Linked DNA regions of Rattus norvegicus. The protein of the gene in region 1 binds, or shares a complex with, the protein of each later gene. Links are inferred from orthologs where the notes say so. Each region holds a gene or a part of one and is shown on either strand. Other genes may lie near its edges. The genes, in order: Crb1 and Pals1.

Region 1 (10,847 bases):
GAAATGGATAAGAAAGGCTTCCCTGATACAAGCCAATGGAAAACAAAAGAAAGGTGTGTGTTGAATTCTGGAATCACAATAGGCAGGCTTGTCTTTCCAGTGTGGTGTTTTTGTTTTGTTTTGTTTTGTTTAAATGACCAAGTTACTCAGCTTCTGTGAATCTCAAGTTATTCTCTTGTAAAACAAGTACCATGATAGCATCTGTATAGGACACAACTTGAGAGCCGATAGCACAGTAGGGAACGGTCTAACAAGCTGTGCGAACATCAGCGGCGTGATGCGATGAAGTTGACAATCAGTTTCCCCTTCCTGCTTTAGGTATCGCCAATGCTGCTTTCAGCGGATTAAGCAGCGAAATATTGTTCAGAAGCAATGGGAATATTACCAGAGAACTCACCAACATCACATTTGGTTTCAGAACACAGGATACAAATGCGGTGATACTGCATGCAGAAAAAGAACCAGAGTTTCTCAATATTAGCATTCAAGACTCCAGACTACTCTTTCAACTGCGAAGTGGCAACAGCTTTTATACGCTGCATCTGACGGGTTCCCAATTGGTGAATGACGGCGCATGGCACCGAGTGACTTTTTCCATGATAGACCCACGGGCCCAGACCTCCCTGTGGCAGATGGAGGTGGACGACCAGACACCCTTTGTGATAAGTGCAGTTGCTACTGGAAACCTGAACTTTCTGAAGGACAATACTGACATCTATGTGGGTGACCAAGCTGTTGACAATCAGAAAGGCCTGCAGGGCTGTCTGAGCACAGTACAGATAGGAGGGCTATATCTCTCTTACTTTGAAAGTCTTCATGGTTTCACTAGTAAGCCCCAAGAAGAGCAGTTTCTCAAAGTTTCTACAAATGTGGCACTTACTGGCTGTTTGCCACTCAGTGCCTGCCACTCTAGCCCCTGTCTGCATGGAGGAATTTGCGAAGACAGCTACAGCTCTTATCGGTGTGCCTGTCTCCCGGGATGGTCGGGGGCACACTGCGAAATCAACGTTGATGAGTGCTCCTCCAGCCCCTGTGTCCATGGCAACTGCTCGGACGGGGTTGCAGCCTACCACTGCAGGTGTGAGCCTGGCTATACTGGTGGGAACTGTGAAGCGGAGGTAGACACTTGCAAGAGTCATCAGTGTGCCAATGGGGCCACCTGCGTCAGTGGCGCTCAGGGCTACTCTTGCCTCTGTCTTGGAAATTTTACCGGCAGATTTTGCAGGTGGGCACAAAGTCGGTGAGGAGCTCAGTCTTTGGGGCTCTGCTCTGAATTTTCCTTGTCAGGCTAGGAGGCTCTCCCCCCTAAATGTCCATCCACATGTGCTAAACAAGACTGGTTTGGAACACTCCCATCACAATTTGATCATGCAAAGGTGCAATTATATATTGTGCAATATCCTGTATCAAGTCTTTTGTATAACTTAGAGAATTATGACACAGCTTAATAAAGAAAATTTAGGGCATACACCAATGCAAAATGGTCGTTATACAATACTCAGCATGTCACTACAAGAATATCTGTTCAACTTAACCCATTTTAAAGAATTTCACATTTGTTCTGAAATTGCAATAGAAGTCTATTGCTCTTGTGACCACGTCATTTTTATGCTATGAAAAATAGAGATTAAACAAAGAATCTTTTAATCCTGTTACTGTTATTGATATTTTGGCGTTACATTTATAAAATAACCGAGTCATTATAGGGAGGTGAAAGGGTAGTTATTAACGAATACCATATGCTAGGACATGGACAAGAATACCTGGAGTGGAGTAAATTGGCAGGCTGTAAGCATCACTTTAATCCACAGGTAGAGCATTTTGGCACACATTACATGCAGCCGTGCCTGGGAGAAGCTGTGTTCATCTTCTGCAGCATCTAATATTGTGCAGAGCTTCAGTGGCAAGGCACAGTGAGAAGTCCTAAGTGTTCAGGTGATTTAATAGACATTATTTCTTGCAAATTAACAGGATCATTTGTCAAGGAGTAACCTGACTGGTTAAAACCAAAACTTGGGGGTACAAATTAAGAGTCTTACACAGTGACCATAGATAAGAAAATATATATGCCCTAGGAATGAGCTCTCTGAGTCTTTTTCTGACTGATCCATCAAAGTCAAGTTAAAGAATAAAGTTCTCAAAAGTCCCTTCTAATGAACTTTTCGGGTGCTATTTATTAAGCCAAGGTGCTGCGTATAAAGCTGGAGATTTGCAATGCAAATGACTCCTTTTGGAGCCGGTTGGCACTCTTAACTCTTTTGAAATGTCCTTATGATATTTTCTTTTTGAAGTAGAGTTATTAGGCTCATTTGAAAAGACACACTCTTTTGAAAAGACACACCTCTACACCATCATCCAGGTGCTAGCTTCAGGGTATAACAGGACGATTGTGAATTTGCTCTCCACTTCCAGAATATTCATTCTGTATCTGATCACACACACACACACACACACACACACGCGCGCGCGCGCGCATGCATGCATGCATATGTGCACACACACATATGACTGAAGGTCCTGAGCAATAATTTTAAATCTGCTCCAAGATCAGCCCTTTCAAGCCTAGGGATTTCTGTCCAGCAGTATTTTCTTAGCTTTTAACAATCTATTCTGCCTTTTATAAGAGTTCTTCAGTGTGTCTAGCTTTGCGGCTATACCAAGAACCCCATGCTGAACTCACATGTAGTCACACTGAGTATTATACACAAACCGCCTGGACAACACTTGGCTGGCGCTGTGCAAAGCTATGAATTATGAGAGAGGGAGCAAGCAAGTCTTGGCAGGGCAACTGTAGTTCAGTTCTGAAAGCCAACAGAGAAATCACACGAGGGCCTGAGTACCAGAGTGGTCTCCTTGTTTTCCTGCCCTTTATAGGGATGCAATTTTCCTATGGCCTCTGTTGATTTATTAGAACAAGCAGCTGCAGTTCTAGCTAGAGTGAGCTCCTTCCCAGACTTGAATTTACGGCCACCCCATGGCGTAGATCTTATCTTATGCACGAAAGCTGCGGAGAAGGAAAGATGGATGACCACGTTGGTTGCAGTGGGCTCCAGCAGGGGCTTTTTGCTGAAGAACGTCGTGTTTTACGATGCAGCACAATCCAGCATTAATTGTTCCTCGGCCTCAGAGCTTAATTAGCCTAACATTGACTACATATATGAACTTTTCAAAAAAAAATTTTTTTCTTGCATGGGATGAACAAGATAAACAGCTGTGGCCATTATTTTTATCTCTCTAGACACAGCAGATTACCCTCAACAGTCTGTGGGAACGAGAAGACAAACTTCACTTGCTACAACGGAGGCAGCTGCTCCGTGTTCCAGGAGGACTGGAAATGTGTGTGCCGGCCAGGTTTCACTGGAGAGTGGTGAGTTACACTGGAACTTTATGGATAAAAGTTCTGAGCTAAAGAACAGAGGGATTGCCCAGAGTTCATTTTCTCCTCCAATTTTTCATCTCAGTTCCCACAGGAAAAAATCCATGTTGAAATATAGGTCCAGACAGAATCAAGCAATAAAAAAGAAGAAAAATTACAGGGTAGGTCAAAGTATAGAATATTTTACCAGCCAAGACTTCAAATAAGAAAATACGGTTTTTAAAATACATAATGTCTTATTTATTCTTTCCTATAAGTACTTCTGGATTCACGGAGTCCTTCCCTCCCCACGCTAACTCTAATATATGATTTCAATATGGTTGCTTTTGAAGTAAAATAAAACACACCTAAAAGTTACCTTATTTGATTGACTTCAACCCAAAGTATATGTACTCCTTACCCGGGCAATTCTTTCGTTCACAGAGAAGCCCTTTCACTGTTCACCTAGTCAGAGGTGCCCAGCTAGTGATACAGGGAAAGTTGTGTATGCATTTGCCTGGCTGGGGTGTGATCAAGGGGAAGAGAAGACATGCTTTGATCAGATGCCCCAAGAGATCTCCATCCCCAAACTGGTAAAAACCAGGACTCTGTGGACACAGGCATTATTTAGACAACATTACCATTGGTTTAGCACTAATCCACCCATATACCTACATTTCAGAGCTCTGTGAGCAAGATTTTGTTGTTTTTATTTTGTATGTGTGCATGTATGCATGTGTGTGTATGTGTGTGTGCATGTGTGTATATGTGTGTGTATGTGTGTATATGTATGTGTGTGCATGTGTGTATGTGTGTGTGTACACGTATGCATGTGTGTGTGCATGTGTGTATGTATGTGTGTGTGTACATGTGTGTGTGTGAAGGTGAATGCGGATTAAGCTACAGATTGATGCTGAGTTAAATGTATGCAGCAATGAAGGTTGAGCTGCCATCGAAGCTGGTGCTGCTCTACTGGGAAAGCTGACGTGAATTTGTGAGTAAGCGTTTGCTCAGCACAGCTAAAGCAAAATACAAAATGTGCTTCTCCATCTCCTAGAATAAGGTACAGGCAGTTGAGACACACATGTGTGCAGAAGGAATTAGAGGAGTCCCATTCGTGTTCCAGCTTATCACAGCATGACATGCCTCCGATTTCATATCCTCAAAATATTGTAAATAGATCTTTGGCCTAAACATAAATAACTCTTTACTATCTTCAAATGCTCGTTGCCTCCTGGCTTAATAATATTATCTCCCCTTAATAGCACAATGAATAGTATTCATCCAAAACCCTCAGTTATTTTTTGCAGTAAATATTTCCATTTCCTCCAATGTATATCAGTTTTGAAAGTCATACTTGCCATTTAAATTATTGATTGAGATGAAGGTGGGATTACTAATTTTCCTTTCTTCCCAGGGAAGATTGTCTCCACATAGACTTCACTAGTACAGAGTTATTTCTAACAGTGAATGTGCGTTTAATATATTCTGATTTTGCAAACACATTAATCATCATTAATGAATTCAGGAGATCCTAATGGCTTTACTTTGACTTTCCATATATTAATTATCATCTTTTTCATTTGTTTTTATCTCGCTTTTTCTTTGGGGACAGGATCCCATTTGTAGCCCTGGCTTGTCTAGAGCTTGCTGCTACATTGAGGAGGCTGGCCTCGAACTTGCTATCATTCCTCTGCCTGACTTGTCTCACTGCTGGAATTTGGGGAATGAGGCACCACATTCAGTCCTATTATTTTCTAATAAGGCTCCCCTGCTGTTTTCTATGCATATGCAGCATCCACTGTTTTGTTCAAAATGGAAATCAGTAAGGGAATAAAAGAAAGCAGGAGGAAGGGCTGGAAATGTTTCGGCGTCTCCCAAGGCCTAGAGCTGTGAGACTTCCACACAGCGGAGGATACTGAGAAGCTGTTGAGCTTGCCTAAGCTTCCAGCTTCATGTTGTCAGTCAGTCCAGCACGTTCAGGTGATGGATGGTGTGAATGCTGGCCACCCATACACAGAGTACTTGGCAAGCTCCTGAGAGTTGTCAAGTTTGGCTGGGATCTAATCAGAGAAGCCTCCTTCCAGCCCAGAAGCCAGGGCCGTAAAAGGAAAACAGAGAGTCTCAGCTATGTTCGCTATCCCATGGATAAAGAGCTATTTTCCTTGGACTGAATCTCCATTTCCCATCACACCATCTCACAGCTCCTCCACCTCGGCCCTTGCATTAGAGCCTGGTGAGAAGTCTCTGCACACACAGACATTCTACGTTGGGGGGAAGTGGAGATTAAAAACAGTTTATAGCGTAAATGGTTCTGCAGAGTTTTTCCTAAGATAGCGCAAATGCCTTCACCACTGCTCAAGCCCTTAGCAGAGTATCTGGCACACGGTAAATAAAACTACTGAACTAATCCTTGGAGGGCCAGAACAAGGAGTTGCGACTATACATAATAACATTCCAAAAACCTAAAACTTCAATGAAAGCGTCAATAGAACGATGTGCCATTTGATTATTTCAACCTCATTTGAACATACACCATTGTATACACAGTATCAACATCACACATATACACACTAACACACACACACACACACACACACATCCAACGTGTCTGCCATTTTTGTGTTCATATATCAGTTTTTTAAAAAATCAAAAGAAAAAAATATCGGTTGAAAAGGAGGCAGACAGTACTCAAGTACCTTAGAGTGGACATTGTTCTTTTTTTCCCAGAAAAGTCATATAGGAAAACACTTACTAGAACGTTTAGAGTTCCTTGTCACTACTTAGACCATGGATTTATTAACTGGGTTCTTCCTTACTTTTCTAAATGCTTAAACAAATTGAATTTCAAAGGAAAATAATCCAACATCTCCTAGAATTAGCCAAGTCTATCCTGAGGCAGAGAAACTCTAGAACTTTCACAGCCTGTGCTGTCTCTGCCCTGTAGATTCCAGGCTAGCAAAGTCAGCCCCCCAGTATCTATCCAATAAAGCTGACATTTAAAAGGTGGCAAACTGACCCACGCTCCTGAGGGACAATCAGGACTTCTAAATATTTGCAGTCATTTTCTTATTTGAATTAATTCAATGTGTACACCTATGTCTGTGCATTTGTGCACAGACAAATTTCCACAAAACTCAGAATGTATTAAAGGGCTCTTAAGGAACCTCTGAAATTATCCAGTGTGTTTAATTGGGTAGATTTGGTGCAAACTCTATGCCATGTTAGAAAGAGGGACAAACCATTGCTCAATCTAACAATCCGCCTGCCTGACCTGGGGCATCTGCTTTTATATCCATTTTCAAGGTGTGAAGAGAACATCAATGAATGTGCCTCTGACCCCTGCATCAACGGAGGCCTGTGCAGGGACTTGGTCAACAGATTCCAGTGCATCTGTGATGTGGCCTTTGCGGGCGAGCGCTGTGAGCTGGATGTAAGCGGCCTTTCCTTCTATGTGTCCCTTTTACTGTGGCAAAACCTCTTTCAACTCCTGTCCTACCTCATTCTGCGCATGAATGATGAGCCAGAGGTAGAGTGGGGTGCACAGGAAAATTATTAACGTGTAAAACATTGACTTTCAAGAAACATCTTGTCTCAGTGTACGACAAAGGGAAAATTAGGGAATAGAATCCATTTAGAGAGGTGATTCTCAACTTTCCTCATGCCACAGCCCTTTAGTACAGCTCTTCCTGTTGTAGTGGCCCCAACCATAACATTGTTTTCACTGCTACTTCATAATCCTTCTACTCTTATAAATCATAATGTGAATATTAGGTTCTCTGACAGTCTTAAGTGACACCTGTGAAAAGGTCATTGATTCCCCCAAAGGGTTCATGACCTACAGGTTGAGGACTGCAGACTTGGAGGATGACAATGCATTTAAGGACACCACAAGCAGTTTGGGTCTATAGAAGGTATTTTCCTATTCTAGTTTTTTTTTTTTTTAGACACACCAGAAGAGGGCATCAGATTCCATTAAAGATGGTTGTGAGCCACCACATGGTTCCTGAGAATTGAACTCAGGACCTTTGGAAGAGCAGTCAGTGCTCTTTCCAGCCCCTAAGAATGTTCTAATACAGTCAGAAAGAGCTCACCACCCAGCCTGCTGAGTCCAGGCCACTGTCGTCCTCAACGCTTCCATATTGAATGATTTTCATTACACTTAGAAAACCTTTTCTCTCCACTCCACCTCTGCACGTTCCCTATTTTCCTACTGACAGTTTCCCCCCCTCACCATGATTCTAATGCGGTGTGTGGTCCTCCTTCTCACCAGTTATATGTAACATGAACATTTAAAAATACCTATAAACATTTTTATAGTCATGTGTGTCTTCCTGCAAAGCTATTCTCCACGGACAGTTCTTTTCTACACGAAGAAGAAATGAGTTCACCCCCCAGGAACACAGAAAAAAGATGCTCACAGTATCCTTCATCAGCATCACTTCTGATATCATGGACCATTCTTTCCACCAGCAAATAGCAGAGAGCATTTTCTCTATTAGTTCCCCTCACGTTTCCCCCTTTTCCGTTACAATTGGAAACTTTCCGTTAGGTACTGACACATTTGTAGGGGGTTTGACTTTCCCATCAAGAATTCCCTGATTCAGTATTTATGCAAAATATCTTTGCAAGGGGGGGGGGGGTCTATATCAGTCCAACAGAGATGTCATTAGTGTTCATTGAGGAGGAAATACTTTGAATGAATTCACACCACCACTGAAGCAGCAGTAGTCTGAAAGACACCCTTCTGCGAATGTGCCCGTGTCTTCAGGAGCTGCCCTGGTTTGAAGGCATGTGGGTAACTTGTGTTTTGCATGTTATCAATGCTCAGTGGGTCACGACTGTTTTAAAAAGAGCTTTTTCTGTGGCAATGACCAAGGCGAATCCAGATATGCCAGTCACACAAAGGGGTATTGCTCTATTCCTCAGTACTTATTCATTTTACGTAGCAGCCTCCACCCCGCAGCAACCCTTTCACAATAGTAATGACGCTGAGCTCTGACCTTCCTTCTCAGCATTTTCCTTGTATCCAAAGCATGGTGTCCACACCGCTCTCCTAAAACGAGACCTTGTAGCCAGAAAGGCAGGGAAAACATTTCCAAAAATATTTGCACTCTTAAGTATTTGCAATTGAGTAGATTACAGCCAGAGACAATATGCAGAGTTTCAGGTTTGCTCCCTTCCACACATGACTTCAACTGTCCTCAATGTGATGTGCTCCCTATAGAATATATTTAAGGAGTATTTACCCACAGTGTCATTCTCTGTGCAGTTCTAATGCTTCTGTTGTCACTGTAACTGTTGATTGTTTTCCTGTCTTCCAACTGTCTTATTAGCATTTAATAGCTTTTTGCTAAATGCCCTCTTTCTATTCTCCTTATTTCTCCATAGTTCAAGTATGTCTGTGTGACTAAGGATTCTCCTCATTTTCACAGAAAAATAAATCTTTTCTTCCTTCCGTTCTGTTGGTCATTCTCTGGTGACACATGCCTTTGCTTACTTGGACCGAGGGTTACACAGTAAGTGATCCGCAACTAGGCTCAGTTGCGCAGACAACCATCACCGCCACCAGCAGCAGCAGCTGGACACCAGACACAAGCATGAGTAGTCATCTCTTGATGACTCCTTCCCCCTTACGTGTCATTGCAAGTAAGCACCATGACACCAAGGCCAGGTCCCATGGACTTTCTTTGGTAGGCAAGTGACTCTGTAATCCAATAGCTCATTTGTTTCACTCTTGACTTATATCGTCTCTGACAAAGCTGGTCTTAGTTTGACCTGGTCATGAGGAAAGACCATCACACCTAAAAGACAGAAATTCACACACTCAGGTTCTCAGGTTTTCCTAATTTACACACACACACACACACACACACACACACACACACACACACACACACGCATATCAAATCTCTGTAATTGACTACATTTTTTTGCTGATGTTTCATCATTAACAGCTGTAGCACACCGGATTGTGATTGGGGTTGACTGTCTTCCTCCTTTGTGAGTATATACATGGGAGTGGATTGAAGCACCCCCCCCCCTCTCTCTGCTGAAAAAAAGAGAAACGGGGAAACGTGGAGAGATGCCATGTTTTGATTGTAAAGAGAAAAGTAAATTCAGTTAGTGCTGGTTCAGAAATCTGGGTCAGGAGTGTGAGGAACCATTTTCAGTACATCGTTTTTTTTTTTTCTAACTACACTTTTTCAATACTACATATCAATAAATTCCTCCCACCCCAACTTTTATTTTACTAAGTTTTTCTGGAAGATGGCTAAAATAGAAGTTATTTAGTCAATACTTCCAAATTAAAGCTCTTTCTGGAAGTAGGGTTATACTATTTGAGTTTAGTGATTTAGAGAAGAATTCTGCTTCAACTACTAATGTCCTTTCCGTATTGCTTGGCGTGGCCTTTAGTACTCAACAAATGATGTAGTGAGGACTTACACTATGGCACTCCCTGGTAACTCCTGGCCAACCGCCATGAGTGAACACGATGCTCACCCATATAAAGCCAAAAGGAACAGTAGGTAAGGAAGGCAGATAAATCAAGATGAGGAATTCTTCAGCCAGTGTTGTGATAAAAGTAGGTCTCCACTGTGCGGCCTGCGAAGCAAGGGGGTTTTGTCCAAAATTAAAACTGGATGTAGAGGGTCAAGAAGGCAAGCTTTACAACGGCTTTGCTGAGATTTGAAGGTAAGTAGAAACTTGGTGGGAAAGGAGAGATGGGGAAGACTACAATACTCCAGGCAGGAGGTGCTGTGAAGTTTGCATGGCATAGCTAGGAAACAGAGGGGGAGCATGGTTAGTCTCAGCTCTAGAAGTAAACGGAAAATGCTTAAAGTCATGTAAAGACTATGGCTTTCCATCCTAAGACCACTTGCGGGGCCTTTAAAGGCTTCAACATAAAAGCGACAATTACACTTATACTCTCAAAGGTCACTTGAACTTTTACATAGAAATGGATTAAGGACAGATAAGACTGCACTAATGAATCTGTAACTAAGAGACAACTACAGTAACATGAACAAAGGAAAAGAGAATTTTGGACTTCTAAGTGGCCATGAGCAAAGTCTAGAATGACAGTTCAATCTGGTGAAATCTATTTGAAAGACTGATCCACTGAATAAATCAATGACTTCTAACGCTCTGGCAGAGAAGTGCAATGTGATTTATACGTGTCACTGTTTTAGACTTGATATCAAGGAATGAGTCTGGGCTTAATATATAAACTTGAGAGTCATATATAGATATACTGAATTGTGTGGTTTTGCGGATGTCTGTGTACAAGCCATGTGTAGCATTTGTCTCTACAATGGTACTACCTTAAAATAAAAGCCGTACACACTTGTCACCTGGATGCTATGCTTAGGGTCTCATTCTCTGATTGTCACTGTATTCCGTGGATTAGAAGCCTGAGAGCTCTCAGCTATACACAAAGGGAATGGACCAAAAAAACGAATGCAAGAAGTAGAGCACTGGGTCTACCTTA
Region 2 (10,847 bases), on another chromosome or scaffold:
TCTTTTAGAAGTGCATATAAGTAGCATGTTCCACACTGAGAAATGATCTAAATCAGGATGATCACTGGGAAAAAAAATTCTTACTTTATTTGACTGAAAACTATTCGATCCAAAAAAATATGAAGGAATTAGGTGTTTCTAGAAATGAAGAAAATGTTTATGGGGTGTGTGGGGTCGATTACAAGATGGACAGGAGCTAAAGGGGACATAGATAGGAATTTTAGATGCTGGTGACATTCTGGTTCTTTGGGTGTTGCTTACAATATGGTAAAAATACCATGTTCTAATTAGAAAGTGGGTTTCTATTTATCTAAGATAACTATCTACCTAAGGAACCTCCTATTCTTGATGTGAAAATAGACATTAGATTAAAATCTTGAATACTCAGTACCAACATGAATTTTAAAAAGTTCTGTGGGATAGCAGGGAGCCAAAACATAGTTGGAAGGGTGTTTAAAAAGAACACGCATACAAATTATCAACTGAGTATAAGAAAAACAGTATGAGCTAGAATTGTTTTAGAAACTGGGTGAAAATTGCTTCCAAAATCTATTTAAATTGTTATCTTTTTACATGTGTGTGTCCCCAAACCCTGGGAACCAAAAAAGTAAAATTTTAAGCCTTTCTAGAAGTAGTGAAATTGCTTTAACAGGCTTTGTAGGTCTACCCAACTGGGTGATTTGTCAGGCTGATTTTATTAAATCATTGTCTGAAAGCAATACCCACCATGGCTATGCAGAGTGCATTGCTGGAGTGCCTGCTACGATACTTCTTAAAAGGCTCAACTCCTGCTCTCTGTTTTGAGACAGGGTCTCACTTTGTAGCCCTGGCTGTCCTGGAACATCCTATGTAGACCAGGCTGGCTTCAGATGTCAAAGATCTGCCTGCCTTGCCTCCCAAATGCTGGGATTAGAGGCATGCACCACCACCAAAAAGCTGAACCCTTAACAACACCTCAGACTTGTGGCCTCTGCATTGATAGACAGTTGGGTGTTAGATAGAAAGGTCTTATAATCCTCTATCATACCAAGGGAATCCAAAAGACCAGTGAGGGATCAACATAGCTTTATGATCTGTTCCAAAGGCAAGAAAATCACTCAAGGATGCTTTTCAATTTACTCTAGCCTACCCAATTCATTTCCCAGTCATCCTAATTTAAGTGGCTGGCAACCTGGAGGATTGCTTCATGTAGCAGAGGACATGTTATATTTATAGGACAAGCGCATCTCGACACATCTGAAATGTATCACGCCAGCTGAGCCTTTTATTTTGTAGTAACTAAAGGTAGACAGCCAATGGCCTCCACAGGATAGGATACTTCTTTTTAAGTTTCTTCCCCCCCACTAGCCCAGTTACTCTAACTCACAGTTTGTTTGATGTCAGCTTCCCAAATGCTGGAATTAGCTGTAAGCCACCATTCCTAGACAGTTATTTCATTCTTATGTTTATAAAAAACAAGGGCCAGGCATGGTTATGCACACCTTTAATGCCAACACTTGTGAGACAGAGGCAGATCTGCGAGTTCAAGGCAAGCTGGTCCACAGAGCGAGTTCTAGGATGCCCAACACTACCCTGTCCCCAAAGTCCAAAAATAACCAAGAGCTGTGATGAATGAATTATTTCAGTACTCTGCTTTTGCATTTGCTGAAAACAATAACAACATACAACATTAACTGAGAAGCAGCAGCATCATACAGCACGCTAGTTTTATCTATTAAAGTAATTTTAACAGGCCTGCATCTTGCTGCCACACCTGATGACCTGAGTTTGATTCTTGGGACCCACATGGTGGAAGGAGAAAACTGACTCCCTGATGACCATATAAATGCTGTAGTGCATATGCACCCCTAAAAAATAAATGTATAGCTGTAAAAGAAATAACTTTTATTAAGGGTAATTCCAGGTTGCATGAGCAGTAGAAAAGAAAAGCTTATAAAATATACCTCAACCTCTGACACTTATTCTCAAAAGACAAAAATCATTTACTGAGGAAGGATGGATTGATTATCAGGAACATTTAGAGGACAGCATGTTTCAATGCTCTTCAGTTGTGTCTCTTTTCACACTGGAGGCTCAGTTACAGGACAGACACATGGAAAGGCAAGCACAGACACATGGAAAGGCAAGGCACAGAGAATGGCTGAATTCAGAGGCCAAGTCTGTTTTTTCATGCCTCTTCCTACAAAGAATTCTAAACACACAAAAAAGGTTGCAAATGCAGTATCAACTGGAATATGTTCTGGAAAGAAATAACAGAAAACAGAAAGAGCCAAATAAAATAACACACCTGTGGTAAAAGACAAAGTAAAAATGAAACTGGTTCTTTTTCAAATAGTTAAAATTTTGGGAGAACTAAAAATAACAGATGTAGAGGTGGATATGAACAAAGCACAATGCTATACACACATAAAATGTTACGATGAAGCCATGATTTGATTCGGTAACTGAACAAAAATAATGATAAAAAAGAATAACAAATGTATAAATGAAGACCAGGCTTCCATATCAATCTAAGACCTTAAAGCCTTATTTTAATTGCTTATGACGTAATTAACATGCTACACAATTTACAGTTTGAGTATATGCGGAGACAGAGGCTGACCACTGATACTGTTAGAATATTTCCAGCCTTCTGCACCCACTACTGATGAGGGCCATTCCCACTCTCTCCCAGTTCCTCATCTATACATTTAAGGGGCCACTGAAACATTCCAGTTTCTATGAACTTACCTATTTTGGATATTGTACATAAATAAACCAGTAAAGGCCTTGTGATTGCCATAAGTTTTTCAAGCTCATGTATTTTGTAGAATATACTCTACTTCAGCCCTTTTAATCAGATAATATCTCAGTGTACAGACAGATAAACCATGCTGTATTTTCAAATTATCGCTGGTGGCTATGGCTATTTTTAAGTTGTTTTTACATTTTGGGTCTTATAAATAATACCAGCATGAACATTCATGTATGAACTGTTCTATAGTAAATTCTCCTAATATTCTTTCCAGGCATGCTGGGTTGTACAGTAACCAAGTCTATCACTTAATAGAGCTGTGTTAAATATTTAACATATAGAAATACATCAGAGTAATGACTTATACATATTTGTAAAAGTACCCTTCTCTACACGACTAAACGAAACTCCATTATAACTGAAGACAAACAACAATGTTAAAATGTCTGAAACTGAACTATGCCATATATTTTACTTTTAAAAAGTTCAGTTTACTAAATTTTAAATGATGTTTTATACTTACTTAAATACAATTACCTGATTTCTCTGTTTTTACTTGAACACACCATATTCAGTCAAGTTTCTGATACAGAAAAGCAGACAGAAGTGGAAGAGGAATAAGCAATACATATTTTAAAATTACTTACTACAGTTTCTTTGGCGGGAGGAGGCTTGATCTGTTGACTAGGAATCAGAACAAATGTCAACGTACCGTGCATATCAGACTGTAACAGAAAGGTTAAAGTACTTTAAAATCGTCCATGATCTTATGATTAACATTCTGATGGCGGAACTCCCTCAGTCCTAGAGGGAAACGTTCCCTTCCTAGCTAATTTCATTATTTAGTCTTGTCACCATGTACTGTACCGAGTTGTGCAGCCAGATTCGTAATCACTGCCAGTGCAGCACTAGCTGCATTCAGACACAGCCAGCCTAGACCGCACTCTTCCTAACTTCATGCGGATAAAACAAGGAGCAGTGCTCAGTGCACGACAGTATCAATCAAATGGGCTCTGAGGGATGACTTGGCTCTTCCAGAGCTACAGGCAGAGATTTAGGGAAATAGGGATATGGATATTCTCTAGCTTTTACAACACACATTGGTAGGTAGTAGACATACTACGCAACACCTGATGCTACATAATTAAGATAAGTACACACATTGGTTTGTAGACGGGAGTACTGGCAGATGCCATGGGAGGAAAATCACCAAAAAGGCCAGTCTGGGATATATACTGAGTTTTACCTCAGACCTTGCCTCCAAAAAGGAAAGAAAAATCCTAATTTGTGTTGAATACAATATGATTAATCAAGGCAATTGGGCTAAGCATGGTGGCACATGTGTTTAACCCCAGCACTTAGTTAAGAGCACTTGTGGCCTTTGCAGAGGATCTCAGTTTGATTCCCAGCACCCATATTTTGGCTCACAACCATATGTAGCTCCAGCTTTAAGGGAGCCAATCTTATTCTGACTTTCTCAGATACCAGTCATGTATGTAGAGCACATACATACATGCAGGCAAAATACTCATAAGGCATAAAATAAGTAAATCTTAGGAAATTAAAGAAGGTAATTAGAAGTGACTACCTAATTATCCTAGCACTGCCCAGTAGAATTTGTTCAACAGAAATATGTTGCAGCTATCTCAGACAACAGCCATTAACTACATAATAAATCTTGTTCAACTATAGCTAGTGAGAATAAGAAACTGAGTTTTAATTTAATTCATCAGGCATGCACAAGGTATACTGACACATGTAGAAATAAATCTTTAAAAAAATAGTAAAAGTAAAACTTATAATAAAGTTCACAGTAAATAAAAATAAACCCCAAGCCAAAAATATAATAACAAAAATTGACAAATCCTGTAAAAGTTAGGCTAAAAACTACCTTATACTCATCAGTTATTTAAAAAATATTCTTTAATAATCTAAGTTTAATAACAAAACAGGCTTTTAAATGAATCAAATATTCTACAGTCTGAACATACCAACAAGTCAAAAACCTCATTGACGTCCTTGCCCCGGATTTCGATGCCATTGATCTCTAGGACTTCGTCTCCTTCGTGCAGAAGCCCGCTCTTCTCTGCCGCGCCTCCTTTCACTATCCGACTTATGATGACAGAATCCATCTCATTACGAACCGTGGCACCCTAAAAACACCCAATATCTAATTTAAACATAAAAATGCAATTTTTTGTTAAGCATTTCATTTTTAAATTTTATTTTTTTTAAATCTAATAAGACTAGCTCTTAGTTTATCTTAAGGAAAAACTTTACTCGCATTGCTACACTAACAACTGTAATTTAACATGAGAGCTAAGCGTTCCTCACCAAACATTTGTTTCAGAGATGCTTTATTCATTAAAATTCTGTAGTACACAGACTTCTGAAACATATAATAGCAGATAATATAACATATACTCTGTGTTTAAAGACATAAAATCAAAATTTTTTTCTGCTGGATTCTCTTCCAACAGCTAGAAAACATCTAGGTATATAATTAACACAATGCCTAACTATAAAGAATTTCTTAAAATTCAAAATATAATCAAAGGATAAATAACAATATGGCTAACTATGCAAATGTTAAACAGCTGCAACCAAATGCATCAAATACTAATATTTATTATACAAATTAGAAGAACAGTGGGAAAGTATATACTCAAAAGCTGGAACAGTAAAATAAAGTAAAACTTATTTTCTAGGGCTCAGTGGTTAACAGCTTTTGTTCCTGCAAAAGACATAGATTTTGTTCCCAGCATCCACACTAAACAACTTACAAACCCCTGTAACTCAAGCCAGGGGACCCAAGTAACTCCCTTTCGTCCTCTGAGGCACCTGCATGCATGTGGTACACATAAATATACTCAGACATATATGCATAATGAGTAAACAAATATTAAAAAAGGTCCTAATTTTCCTAAGTATCACTTTTCTATTATCATGACTTTTCCTTTTATTCTCCAAGAAGGAACTAGTTACATAAAGTGCTTATACATTCTTTTAAAAAATATTTTTATTACTTTATTATTTAGTGTGTTTATGTGGTGTGTGTGTATGTGTGTGTGTGTGTGAGAAAGAGAGAGAGAGAGAGAGAGAGAGAGAGAGAGGGAGGGAGGGAGGGAGGGAGAGAGAGAGAGAGTGTGTGTGAGAGAGTGTTGTGTATGTGTGTCCCTGCGCATGTGTGTGCTGGAAGTCCTCAATCTCTCTCCATCTCACATTTGGAGCACTTAACCTGGAACTAATCTGGCTAGGCTGGTGGCTAGCCTGCAAACTCCAGAGAAGTCTGCCTGTCAGTGACAGAGCTGGGAGTACAGACATATGCCATCATGCTTGGCTTTTCATGTACGTGCTAGGGTACAACCTCTTGATCCTCATGCTTTGTGTGCTAAGAATGTTCCAATCAAACCATGCGCCTAGTTCCCAAAGACCAGATTATCTAACTTCTGTTGTAAAGAGTAAGTTAGAAAATTAGTTTTCGGTTGGGATTTAGCTCAGTGGTAGAGCGCTTGCCTAGCAAGCGTGAGGCCCTAGGTTCGATCCTCAGCTCCAGGAAAAAAAAAAAAAAAAAGAAAATTAGATTTCTCTTCTTGATCTTCAGTAAGTATTTCATAAGTTATTATTTTCATTAAAATGTGAAAATTAAAATGAGAAAAGGTAATGAAATTAGTTTTTCAACCAAGTAAGGCTTTTGAGCAATAGCATATTACAATTAACAAATTAACCCACAAAGAGAAAACTCTCCAGGAACATAATGGGATCTTCAACTCTGTACCATATGAGGTCTTAGCATAGAAAACAATCTTAGATCAGACATGAGAACACTTACCAATGGAATATCCCGAGCCTTTTCTATACGAACTATTTTTACAGTTTCTCCCCCATAATGGCCGATACTTTCATAGACTCTCTCATCTGTTATGGGCTCTAGCTGCATTTCCTGCTCAGCAACCTTATCATGGGCCAGTAAAAGTGCCTGTTTCAAAGAAACCCACAGTGCTTCAAGTGAGAACATGACTTATTTTTGTATAGTTTTCTCATGCACCGAGTATTAAAATCAAGTCCATAAGGGCCTAAAACAGCACAAATATGTAAGGGACTTTTGATCAGTTTTTAAAAATAAGCTATTTAAAAACATAATTTGTAAAGTTTTACATATGGAATTGTATAACCCAGCAATAATTACTTTGCAGAGAGGGTTACAAACTACATGACTAGGTCTCTTCCAACTCTAGGAGACTGTAATTAAAAAAACAAAACAAAACAACAAAAACAAAACAAAACAAAAAACCGAATATTAGAAACAAACAATATTCTGTCCTTTTTCTACCTGAATATGTGGAGCATTTAACAAAGCAGTTAATTCTTGTCCTTCCTTCTGATGGACTGGCTTTAAGACAGTTTGTACCTAAAGAAATAAAAAAAATTTTTTTCTTAGTTTATAGCAATTAGCAGCAGCATCTATGCAGGAGAATATTTTTAAGTGATAATAAAATGGCAAAACCACTTAAAGAAAAACACTAAAGAAACATAAGAAAAAAAATCTTTTCTCAGAGATCTTTCAATCTTATTATAGATAAAAATAAACATACTTCAAATATCATGGTAGTTACAACTGCAAATGAACCATTTCAATTTTTAAAGTTTCTCCTAACATAGCATGAAATCCACTTTAATAATTACATGACAGAAGATCTGTTCCACCTATAGTTATCATGCTGTTTTAGAGATTTAAATGCTATGTTTCAAGAACTACATTAAAAATCGGAGATGAGGGTTGGAGAGGTGGCTCAGAGGTTAAGAGCACTGACTGTTCTTCCAGAGGTCCTGAGTTCAATTCCCAGCAACCACATGGTGGCTCACAACCATCTGTAACGGGATCTGATGCCCTCTTCTGGTATGTCTGAAGACCGCTATAGTGTTCTTATGTATAATAAATAAATAAATAAATCTTTTTAAAAAATCTCAGATGAAAATTTAAAGTTACAGATTCACAAGATAACTGTAGCAGTGCTGGACACTGTTTTCTTAGGATAAATCCCGCAGTTCTGATACGGTTTTCAGGTCCAGTCTTTCGTCATATGCAGGCTGGCCCCCATCATGTAAAGCTCTTCAAAGGCTGACCAGATGACCTCAATGTGGGTCTGCACTTGTGATCTTTCTTTCCTAACATTGCTGGATGGCTTAACTATCTTAACCACAGTGTTGTTTTTTTCCTGGCCTTTTTTTTTTTTTTTTTTTTTTTTTTTTACTTTTCTATTTTTCGGAGCTGGGGACTAAACCCAGGGCCTTGCGCTTGCTAGGCAAGCGCTCTACCACTGAGCTAAATCCCCAACCCCTTTCCTGGCCTTTTTAAAGAACCAGCTATTAATGTCATGATTATCTATTCTTCCTATTAAGAAATTTAAGTACTCTTTTCCATTCCCTTGGTTTCTAACTAATGGACTAAAAATTAAGCCCACTTATTTGCAGTTTTCAATCTTCTACCAATGAATATTGAGGCAGCTATGTTCCTCTGCACACTGCTTTCTCCCAGATTATCCTCTTTATGCCTCGTTTTTGCCTTTGTACCTCCAAATCCCAATTCCAAAATGGTCCACTGCAATAAAGTAAATAACAAAACCAAAACTGTGACTATTAATGGAAGTATAAGAGTAACCAATGATTTAAACAGGAATTCTATATCCTTTATGGTTACTTTATTAGCAATTCTGCAATTAAACCTTTACAGTTTTATTGGTAAAACGAGGACCAATTTTAACCACAATGGGCATACCAAAGCAATGATAAGGGCTGAAGAAAGGCTCCACAGTTTAGAGCTCTTGCTGTTCTTTTTTTTTTTTCTTTTTTTAATTTTATTAACTTGAATATTTCTTATATACATTTCGAGTGTTATTCCCTTTCCCGGTTTCCGGGTAAACATCCCCCTAATCCCTCCCCCTCCCCTTCGTTATGGGTGTTCCCCTCCCCATCCTCCCCCCATTGCCGCCCTCCCCCCAACAGTCTAGTTCACTGGGGGTTCAGTCTTAGCAGGACCCAGGGCTTCCCCTTCCACTGGTGCTCTTACTAGGATATTCATTGCTACCTATGAGGTCAGAGTCCAGGGTCAGTCCATGTATAGTCTTTAGGTAGTGGCTTAGTCCCTGGAAGCTCTGGTTGCTTGGCATTGTTGTACATATGGGGTCTCGAGCCCCTTCAAGCTCTTCCAGTTCTTTCTCTGATTCCTTCAACGGGGGTCCTATTCTCAGTTCAGTGGTTTGCTGCTGGCATTCGCCTCTGTATTTGCTGTATTCTGGCTGTGTCTCTCAGGAGCGATCTACATCCGGCTCCTGTCGGCCTGCACTTCTTTGCTTCATCCATCTTGTCTAATTGGATGGCTGTATATGTATGGGCCACATGTGGGGCAGGCTCTGAATGGGTGTTCCTTCTGTGTCTGTTTTAATCTTTGCCTCTCTATTCCCTGCCAAGGGTATTCTTGTTCCCCTTTTAAAGAAGGAGTGAAGCATTCACATTTTGATCATCCGTCTTGAGTTTCTTTTGTTCTAGGCTCTTGCCGTTCTTATAAAAAAGATTGAGGTTTAATTCCCAGAGCCCACTGCAGGTAGCTCACGACCACCTGTAACTCCAATTCTAGGGGATCTGATTTCTTCTTCTGGTTCCCATAACCACGTGTGCACACACCCACCCACAAATATAAAATATTAGAAAACCAAAACAAACCAAAACAGGACAGTGCAGGGTGTGGTGATATATTCCTTTAATCCTCTCATTGCATAGGCAGGAGGATCTCTGTGAGTTCTAGATAAGCCAGGGCTAACCAGTGAAACACTTTAATAAACAAAGCATAGTGCTGAGACCACGGTCCTCTAGTTTTAGTACCAGAAACTATAGGTAAGTAAATGCTGATTTTTAAAGACACTGCTTTCCTTTTGAAACTTTATGAAAACTACTCAAAGTTAATTTGAAATCTATAGTCCCTGACCAAATACTTTGTTACTGCTGGAGAAAGCAACTCTCAGAGGGGAAGACAGGTTTGAATTAAAAACAAAACAACAGGGGTTGGGGATTTAGCTCAGTGGTAGAGCGCTTGCCTAGGAAGCGCAAGGCCCTGGGTTCGGTCCCCAGCTCCGGAAAAAAAAAAAAAAAAAAAACAACAACAATGACAACAACAAACAAACCCAAGACTTTATAAAAGCTACAATCAGGTCAATAATATTTTAGGTACTTTTTTCTGTTTATACTTTTAAGTCAGTTCCTAAGCATCTCTGATAAATACCCATTTCTGTACCAGCCAACACAGATGCTGTCTATGCTGGTGCCAGTGCACACCACTCGCAGGCCAAGGGAGCTGAAAGACTGTCCTTATATGTTACCTGCCCCTCCCACTGCCCAATGAAAACAGATCTGACCACGTATTTCATTAAAAACAAGAAATGGTCAATGACCACACAAAAAAATAGTGTCAGCAATCATGGTGGAAAGGAAAATTAAAACAAGACACCCCCACACCACATATCTGAGAGTCAGTAGCCAGAGAGCTGACAAGATGGTTCAGTAGGTAAAGGCACTTGCCACCAGCCTGATAACAACCCCAGCTCATTTCCCAGAATCCACACAGTTGAGGGAGGGACCTGACTCTTCTAAGTTTTTTTCTGCCCTCCACACTCACACCACACACAGCATGTACATGCTCACATGCACACAGTCTGCAATAAACAAATGTAAAAACAATTAAAAATGGATCAGTAATAGGAAACAACCAATGTCTCACAATAGATATAAACAACTAAACACACTGACACACCGTGGACTCAGAAAGCATCACAACCTGGGACTGGGACTTAGAGGACTGGTCACGTGTCCATTATTTGTGAAGTGTTTGGTTTAATTTGATACATGCACAGAAGAGATGAACCTTAAGACTAGACTGAGCAGAGGAAATCAAGACACTGCCATGGTTTGAATGTGAAATGTCCCCACAGGCTCATGTTGGAACATCTGATCCTCCAGGTGGTGCTGTTAGCTTTGCAAGGCTAAAGCTGTAGGGCCCAACTTGAGGAAGTGGGCTGCTGATAGCTTACGTGTGTGTGTGTGTGTGTGTGTGTGTGTG

Evidence for each region.
Region 2: the proteins of Crb1 (region 1) and Pals1 are in contact, whole or in part, in a crystal structure (PDB 4UU5), measured with the Homo sapiens proteins. The link is inferred for Rattus norvegicus from reciprocal best matches to the Homo sapiens genes CRB1 and PALS1. Residues at the interface, in NP_957705.1 of Homo sapiens: Ala1401, Met1402, Glu1403, Arg1404, Leu1405, Ile1406; in NP_071919.2 of Homo sapiens: Lys261, Pro266, Leu267, Gly268, Ala269, Thr270, Val271, Arg272, Asn273, Ser281, Arg282, Val284, Val314, Asn315, Val317, Phe318, Leu321.

The regions. Positions count from the first base shown.
Region 1 is NC_086031.1:53,385,864-53,396,710, reverse strand, and holds part of Crb1 (protein crumbs homolog 1 precursor), read left to right. Parts: intron 1-318; coding exon 319-1,225; intron 1,226-3,238; coding exon 3,239-3,367; intron 3,368-6,661; coding exon 6,662-6,788; intron 6,789-10,847. UniProt on the Homo sapiens protein: Plays a role in photoreceptor morphogenesis in the retina. May maintain cell polarization and adhesion.
Region 2 is NC_086024.1:103,348,868-103,359,714, reverse strand, and holds part of Pals1 (protein PALS1), read right to left. Parts: intron 7,146-10,847; coding exon 7,068-7,145; intron 6,714-7,067; coding exon 6,567-6,713; intron 4,888-6,566; coding exon 4,726-4,887; intron 3,460-4,725; coding exon 3,382-3,459; intron 1-3,381. UniProt on the Homo sapiens protein: Plays a role in tight junction biogenesis and in the establishment of cell polarity in epithelial cells.